Daphnia pulex: one gene and its partner. The protein of the gene in region 1 purifies or fractionates together with the protein of each later gene. This does not show direct contact. Links are inferred from orthologs where the notes say so. Each region holds a gene or a part of one and is shown on either strand. Other genes may lie near its edges. The genes, in order: cytosolic iron-sulfur assembly component 2A-like and cytosolic iron-sulfur assembly component 3-like.

Evidence for each region.
Region 2: the proteins of cytosolic iron-sulfur assembly component 2A-like (region 1) and cytosolic iron-sulfur assembly component 3-like purify together in Homo sapiens (affinity purification with mass spectrometry; 4 studies listed by BioGRID and IntAct, with this or other methods). This does not show direct contact. The link is inferred for Daphnia pulex from reciprocal best matches to the Homo sapiens genes CIAO2A and CIAO3.

The regions. Positions count from the first base shown.
Region 1 is NC_060021.1:3,191,042-3,194,301, forward strand, and holds cytosolic iron-sulfur assembly component 2A-like, read right to left. Parts: upstream 1,822-3,260; 5' UTR 1,633-1,821; coding exon 1,422-1,632; intron 1,361-1,421; coding exon 1,100-1,360; intron 1,026-1,099; coding exon 928-1,025; 3' UTR 611-927; downstream 1-610. Other genes in the region: maternal protein exuperantia-like, read left to right, coding at 1-183, 244-537. UniProt on the Homo sapiens protein: Component of the cytosolic iron-sulfur protein assembly (CIA) complex, a multiprotein complex that mediates the incorporation of iron-sulfur cluster into extramitochondrial Fe/S proteins.
Region 2 is NC_060024.1:1,853,029-1,856,956, forward strand, and holds cytosolic iron-sulfur assembly component 3-like, read left to right. Parts: upstream 1-1,710; 5' UTR 1,711-1,754; coding exon 1,755-1,862; intron 1,863-1,926; coding exon 1,927-2,031; intron 2,032-2,128; coding exon 2,129-2,190; intron 2,191-2,252; coding exon 2,253-2,452; intron 2,453-2,512; coding exon 2,513-2,665; intron 2,666-2,730; coding exon 2,731-3,345; intron 3,346-3,402; coding exon 3,403-3,638; 3' UTR 3,639-3,781; downstream 3,782-3,928. Other genes in the region: protein HBS1-like, read right to left, coding at 853-1,120, 1,181-1,272, 1,352-1,420, 1,487-1,529.

The DNA of each region.
Region 1 (3,260 bases):
TGCGATCATTTGCTCGAACAAGTCAAGAAAATCAAAGAAGAATTGACCAAGGAGGCTCAATGGAGACCGGTATTCGCTGACATGTTTCGCCAAGGTATCAAGCCTCGTCGGCGAGCTGGATTCCTCCGCCATATGCTCGTCGAGTCGGGCATCACCTATGTAGGCCTTACGGAAACATTCAAGGTGAGTTTGTCTTCTTTTCAATTCTTAACCGGAAGAATCTAATTGAAATTTCTTTTGCAGGACAAGAAAGATGACGGTGTGGTCGAGGTCATCAAAGAGAACATCAAAGGCAAGAATGAAGCTGACGTGGAGGAAGTCATCAAGCTGCTGAATCAACACCTTGCGCAGCCAGACAAGCCCGTCCGACGCGGTAGCGGCCGTCGAGCACCCCGCACTCGTTCCCTATGCACCGCCACGGACTTGGAGAAGCAGCAGCCTGCGTCCAAGATCGAGCCCGAGGAAAACAACAACGACCCTGTCAAAGTGATTATGGATGTTATTCCCAGCACTCCTGCGGTCCTGTCCGAAGTTTAAAAAGTCCCTCGACTCGCCTGAAATTACTTACTGCCTCCCAACCCCACTTCCCTTTTGTTTTTCACTTAACTTGTCTCGTTTTTGAGAAATTTTGATCTTTTTTTAAGTTTACAAGTCTTTCACGAAACAAACTTGCTTGTCGCTTTTGGTTATGCTTTTCTTCTTACCAGAGATAACACTTGCAAAATTTATATATATACCAGGGAGCTTTTTGGTAATTGTTTCTAGTCTTCTACTAAAATCAATCCAGGGTGTATATGTGCGATGAAATTGTCTCTGCAGTGCCTTTGCAGTGCCTTTCATACTTGTGAGTTGATCTCATGGAATGGAATACAAAATACTCTGAGGAAATTTATCGTCTTTTATTTTTTTTTCTTAACAAAATTCTTATTATTCTTCATCTCTTATGCAACTATCGACCATTTCTTTTAAGTTGGGATTCTCTAAGGCGGCGGCGACTCTTTCCTTGTCGTTGATTTGTTTATTGACTGGATGGGAATAAAGTAAAAGAATATTTTAATGAAAGCTTTTTTGAACATTTAAATATGGAATTAGGACTTACTCTCTTCTTCTGTGCTGTGTTTCCCCTCTGCAATAACTATGTCCAATTTAATCCTTTCCACCACATTTTTCTGAATCTTGCCTCTCAGGCAGAGGCCAATAAGGCTTGCAAGTGAACAATGAGGAACTGTAGGATTGAAATCTATTCTAACCAAGTAACCATTTTCCTCGAATGGTTGTACTTGAACAGATTCATCTGTAATAACCAACAGGTCTTCTAACGTGTTGGGCTTTTCAGGGTCTCTAATTGTCCTCAGCAAGTCTAAAATAAAAATCAATAAATGTTTTACCCTGTGGTGAAATATGATAAAGACGAAACAGACCAGTGATGATTTCTTTGATTTCTTGACATTGATTCTGAACATTTGGTTCCTGTCTGCACGATGATGTCCAAATTGATCTGTCCTTCCAACTTGGCAAGTTCACTGGTGAACTTACGGTTACAGCCTTCTCTAATATCACATTATTAACTGTTTCGGGAGGCGGTTTGCTCTCACTGCTACTTATCTTTTTCAGAAAAGACGTGAGGAACATTTCGACACTTTGATTAAGTACAGCAACCAATTAAATCTTTATAGGACATGCAAGTTTACGCTATGCAAATGGTGGTTTGAATTATCTTTCTACAATTCCAATTAAGTACAAGAGTGAAAAAGACAAACCAAAATAGTGAAAGAAGCAGATGAACGAGTTAACTACTGCACTTTTTTTTAATCAGACGTCACTTTGTTTACATGAAAAGAGCCATCTAGTGAACTGAAGTACAACAATATAGGTAAACCTTTTGGCGGGATTTTGACTGGTGCGAGTGCAGATCATTCAAGATTTCCGGATTTTTTAACTGGACTCTTTGAGTTCGCATTTGTTACTTGAAATGAAACAAAGTAGAAATCTGTACTTTTCATGTGTGCACTAAACGAATTTATATTTTACAAAAATATAATAATCATCTGGTACACAAAAAGATTGGCATGAACTGAATAATAAAGAAATTGCGAAAATTCAGAAGTCAGCGCTTAAGCGCGCTGTGCCGAAGGATGAATGAATGCACTCTAGGCGGAAGTTGATTTCCAAGTGGAATTTTGTGTTGACGAAGGGACTGAGCGCAGTAACAAGACAGGGGCAAGACGGTATTGATCAGAGAGTTCAGATAAGAATTAAAATAATAGTCATGAAGGGAATGTTTCTTTCGCTGAATTTCCAAAAAATCGATCACTGTATGGCCTTCTGGTGTGGCTTGGTCGAGATGACCACCTGCTTCCACTAGTGATTGAAAAACATTTGACAGAGACTCGGAAGGAAAGTCGGCCGAGTCCAAGTAAGTCGAGAATCGAGTCCAGTTCCATTTCTCGGCTAAAATATGAAGCGGAGTTTTCCCTTTTCTATCCGTGGCATTCGGATCGACCCCCATTTTCAAGAACAGTTTAATCAAACGTTGGGTATTGCTTTCGTATAACCACACGGACCGATTAATTCCAGCATGTAAAAGACTGTGCGATCCACGGTGAACGTCTAGGGGAATAAATTGAGAAAGGCATTCCTCAAGTTGCTTGTGTTTTTCCTGGTTTAACCGGGGGAAACTCTTGAACAGCAGCGAAACAAAATCGTAGGCGCATATGTTCACTCTGTGAAGTCTATTGTGATCCTTATCATTCATTAGTGGAACTGGTAGTAGATTGGCTATGACGGTGCAGCATCCAATAGCTTTCAGAAGATTACCGGGAGTCAATTCCCGTCGTTCTGGGCTCTCCGCGGTCTCTTCTCGCATCCGTTCGAAACACTTTGACATCAGATCGAGTGTTTCGACGAAAATGTGAATACATTTGGGTGAAGATGCCGTCGAGCTGAACGATTTCGCCTGGTCGATAATGAGCAAGCAAATGTTGAACGCACGACTGGGTTCTTTTCGGTACGAGTTGCAGTCCCAGCCATACCGAATCAAATTAATTAGATGGAAGTAATAGGGCCCATTATTCACTTGGCTGACGACTCTTTGGTTCACTAAAAGAGCCTGAACTCGAAGATAACATTGCCAATGAGAACTGGCGAGTCCCCAAGCTGGCGGACAGCCGTAAATGGACGATTCTTGCTCCATTAGTTCCAGTTCTTCTAAGGTTAGCACTTCGGAATTATCGGCAAATGCCTTAGCAGCCTCATCGGTG
Region 2 (3,928 bases), on another chromosome or scaffold:
GTCTTGGACGGTAAGCTGTTGGCGACCATTACGCGACCCAATGGCGACGCCTGGCGGCAAACGAGCGCCAAATCAAGCGGACTGGAGTCGGAAGTCATGGGCAAATTTGGTAAAATTTCTGAAACATTTTCCGACTGTGTCCTTTTCCGCTCTTCTACTACCGAGCATTTACTTCGTAGAGCCGACGCCAAATTCAAACTAACGTCAGTTTCTGAAATCCCTGGTCGGACGTTCGGAACTTGACCGGGTAAAAATCGCAAGCGTGGAACATACCCTCCGCTTAAATTTTGGGGTTGCAAATTTACTCGCGCTAACTCAGATAAAGACGGGCGGACTACGCTCGATCCGACGCTTTTCGAGAGGTTTGGATTACCCAAGCTTATCTTAGCCAAATCAGCCAATTTTGGCTTGGCAGCAAGCGGATTGGTCACAGAAATGTTATTGGCTACTGGATTCGGCTTAAAAGACGACACTATACGATTAGGAGTCGATCGTTCCGCAGCTGGATTATTCTTCGATAAATGAAGTGTTGCAAGTTGGCTCAAGCTTATTTTATCAGTACTAATGCTAGGTGTAATATCTTACCTTAGTGAACAGCATTCAAAGGAAAACAGATGCAGCGTCATCACCAACATGTAGAATAACAAATGAAAAAAAAAGGAAACCATTAATTCTATGTAGGTTGATAAATAAATTCAAAACTGACTAATTAAATTGCTTAATTGCTTAAACAAAAAAATAAAATGCATATCTCAAATATTTGCTAGGGGAAATTGGTTTTCAAATGATACAGCTTTGAGTTGTTCAACACAGCATAAGACTTAACTATTTTGTGTATCATAATGTTTATACCTTGAATTGCAGGAACTGTTTTTTCTCTGATTGTTGGTTTTGAGACTTTTTTCAATGAAACAGGAAAAGAATTCCTTAACAGCTGGTCAAGCGCCTTTTCAGCATCAAAATTAGCTGCAAGAATTGCATTGATTCCTGCTTGTTCTGACAGTGCATCTCCCATCCTATCTCTAAGAAGATCCAGACATGAATACAATTGGGCCTGTTCCAATTCTCCTAATGGTGGTATTCTAGGTGGAGCACTAACACCAGCCCCATTTTTAGATTCCTTGTACAGAAAAATAATGTATAGTAGTTGTGAGAAAATGTAACAAAGAAAAATAAATACTTCTGGCGTCAACTCTTCTTCTTCTTCAGGAATGTCAGACTGAATGTAGGCAGACATCTGATGCTCTTGATTTCTATCGTAGAGGAAGTGTTCTGTACATGGCCGGACGTCAATGAGTCAAAACATTACAATTTCTCAATTAAACTAAAGCTTTCAATTCATGATAATTACGCATGCTCGGCGATGATGCAAAATCATCTTCAACAGAGTGGCCGTAGACATCATCATAACCATCGTACTCTACACAAAAAATTTTTGACATTATGAAAAAGATAAATGAAATTTGCATTACGTTTAGTTAATTACCTTCGTCATAATTCATAGTTCGAACGTTCCTATGCCTAGCCATTCTGTTATAATGAATAGTCCGGAAGTTAAGGAAATTAATAAAAGAAATTATTCAAATGAAATTAATTTTGTAAAGAAACGATTTCTAGTTTCTAGTTAAATGATCCAATCAACAGTGGGTTTCGAGGTTTCGACAAGTAAAGTGAAATTTCCCTTCCTCCGAAAGAAGGTAGTACTAAAAAGAGTACGGATGTAAAAACAGTTGACAAACGCCAGCCTTCTTTACATGTTTACAACAATAACAAAACACAAAACAACAAGTATGGCTACCAGTTCAAGATTCAGCAGTATTGTACAGCTGACAGACTTGGATGACTTCATCAATCCTTCTCAAGTATGCAAATTGAGATGACACAATTTTATTATTGTTGAACAAATGCTGAAATTTTTTTATTTAGGAATGCATTAAGCCTGCTAAGACAGCAAATGTAAAACAAGTTACTTCTGCTGGAAGTGCCAAAATCCAAATCGGCGACGATGGCATTTACACCCAAATCAATAAGGTACATGGGACAAGTAATATTTCACTTCAGGCTTATAGGGTTTATTATGTAAATATCCTTGGTATAAATATGTAATTTCTTTAAATGTTTCCTGTAGGAAGGACAACCAGAAAAGTTAGAGAAAGCACAGATTACTCTCAATGACTGTTTAGCTTGCAGGTGACTTTTCAGTTCATGCATTTTATTAAGACACAATTGTGTAACATTGTTAAATTTTACAGTGGATGCATAACATCTGCCGAGAGTGTGTTGATTGGCCAACAAAATCACACAGAATTCTTAAAGCTATGCAAAGAAATTCAGCTGTCTTCAGAAAGTAGAGTGTATGATAAGATTGTAGTGGGGCTTTCATCCCAGCCAATTCTTTCATTTGCAAACAAATTCCAAGTATCTCCCATAGAAGCAAGAGCTAAACTATCAGGTATATTTCCATCGTGTAAATGTTTGAAAACTCATTATTAATTCTGTTGAGTTATTAAAGCTCTTTTTAGGCAACTTGGTGCTGCAAAAGTGTTTGATGTTGAATCATTTGCAGATATGTGCCTAGTTGAGTGTGGACATGATTTTGTTCAAAGATTCAGAGAAAAGTCAACCAATGCTACATCAGTTCCAGTACTTGCTTCTGCTTGCCCTGGTATTGAAATGCTAATTTAATTTTCTTTCTTTACGTTTGTTGATTTGCTGCACGTTTGTTTTAAGGTTGGATATGTTACGCGGAGAAAACTCACGGAAGCTGGATCTTACCGCACATTAGTGAAGTTAAGTCTCCACAGCAAATAGCCGCTACATTTATCAAAGATTTACTTCCCAACGAACTTCAAACGGATGCTTCGCGTCTCGCCGTCGTCATGATAATGCCGTGTTTCGATAAAAAATTGGAAGCGTCTCGTAGCGATTTCCTTCGCGAGGATCAGCAAACCAAGGATGTTGATTTCGTTATAACTCCTGTCGAAATCGAGCAGATACTTGAGGAACTAGATGTTGAGTTCACCGACCTGGATTCATCTCACGTTGATCATTTGAGTAAAGCCGAGATTCCGACGTGGAATATACCATCTGGATCCGGCTCAGGAGGTTATGCAGAGCATGTGTTGCGATTTGCCGCCAAAGAGCTTTATGATGTGACCCTGGAACACATCACGTTCCAGCCAGTTAAAAATTCGGATATCAGAGAAGCATTCCTTGAAATGGATGGACAGCAGGTTCTTAGTGTGGCAATTTGCAACGGATTCCGAAATATTCAAAATCTAGTTCAAAAAATGAAGCGGAAGAAGCGTACGTATGACTATGTCGAAGTCATGGCCTGTCCATCTGGTAAGTTTTAAATTTGATACACAAAAAGAAAAATTCCTGACATATCAATTGCATTAGGTTGTCTAAATGGTGGAGCTCAATTGCGATTGGAATCTAATGAAACAAAGATACTTTTATCAAACCTAGAGATTCTCCATACGAAAATCGAAAAGCATGATATTGATGAGACGAAAGCTGATGATTTAAGTCATGCCTGGCTTGGAAAATCTTCGATTGAGGAACGATTGAAAAGGTTAAGAACCAACTACCACGCTGTGCAGAAGTCAACTAATGCTCTAACTGTTAAGTGGTAGAAGAAAACTACTTCTGGTGCAATGGGGTTTATTTGGAATGTTCATCATTCAATTTTGAAAATAAATATCACCGGCACTCTAAGTTACAAAAAAAAACTAGTTAAAATGTATCCAAATGATGAATTACACATTTTTCTATATTATATTTTTAAATCGTATGTATGTAATGTAATAGAGTATTTAAATGAATACTCTATTGATGTTAGTGCCAAATATTACTTATGGGTGGGCAATTTCGATAACCCTACATAAAATATTCCACACAGTAAAACCTCTATCACGTTAAAATA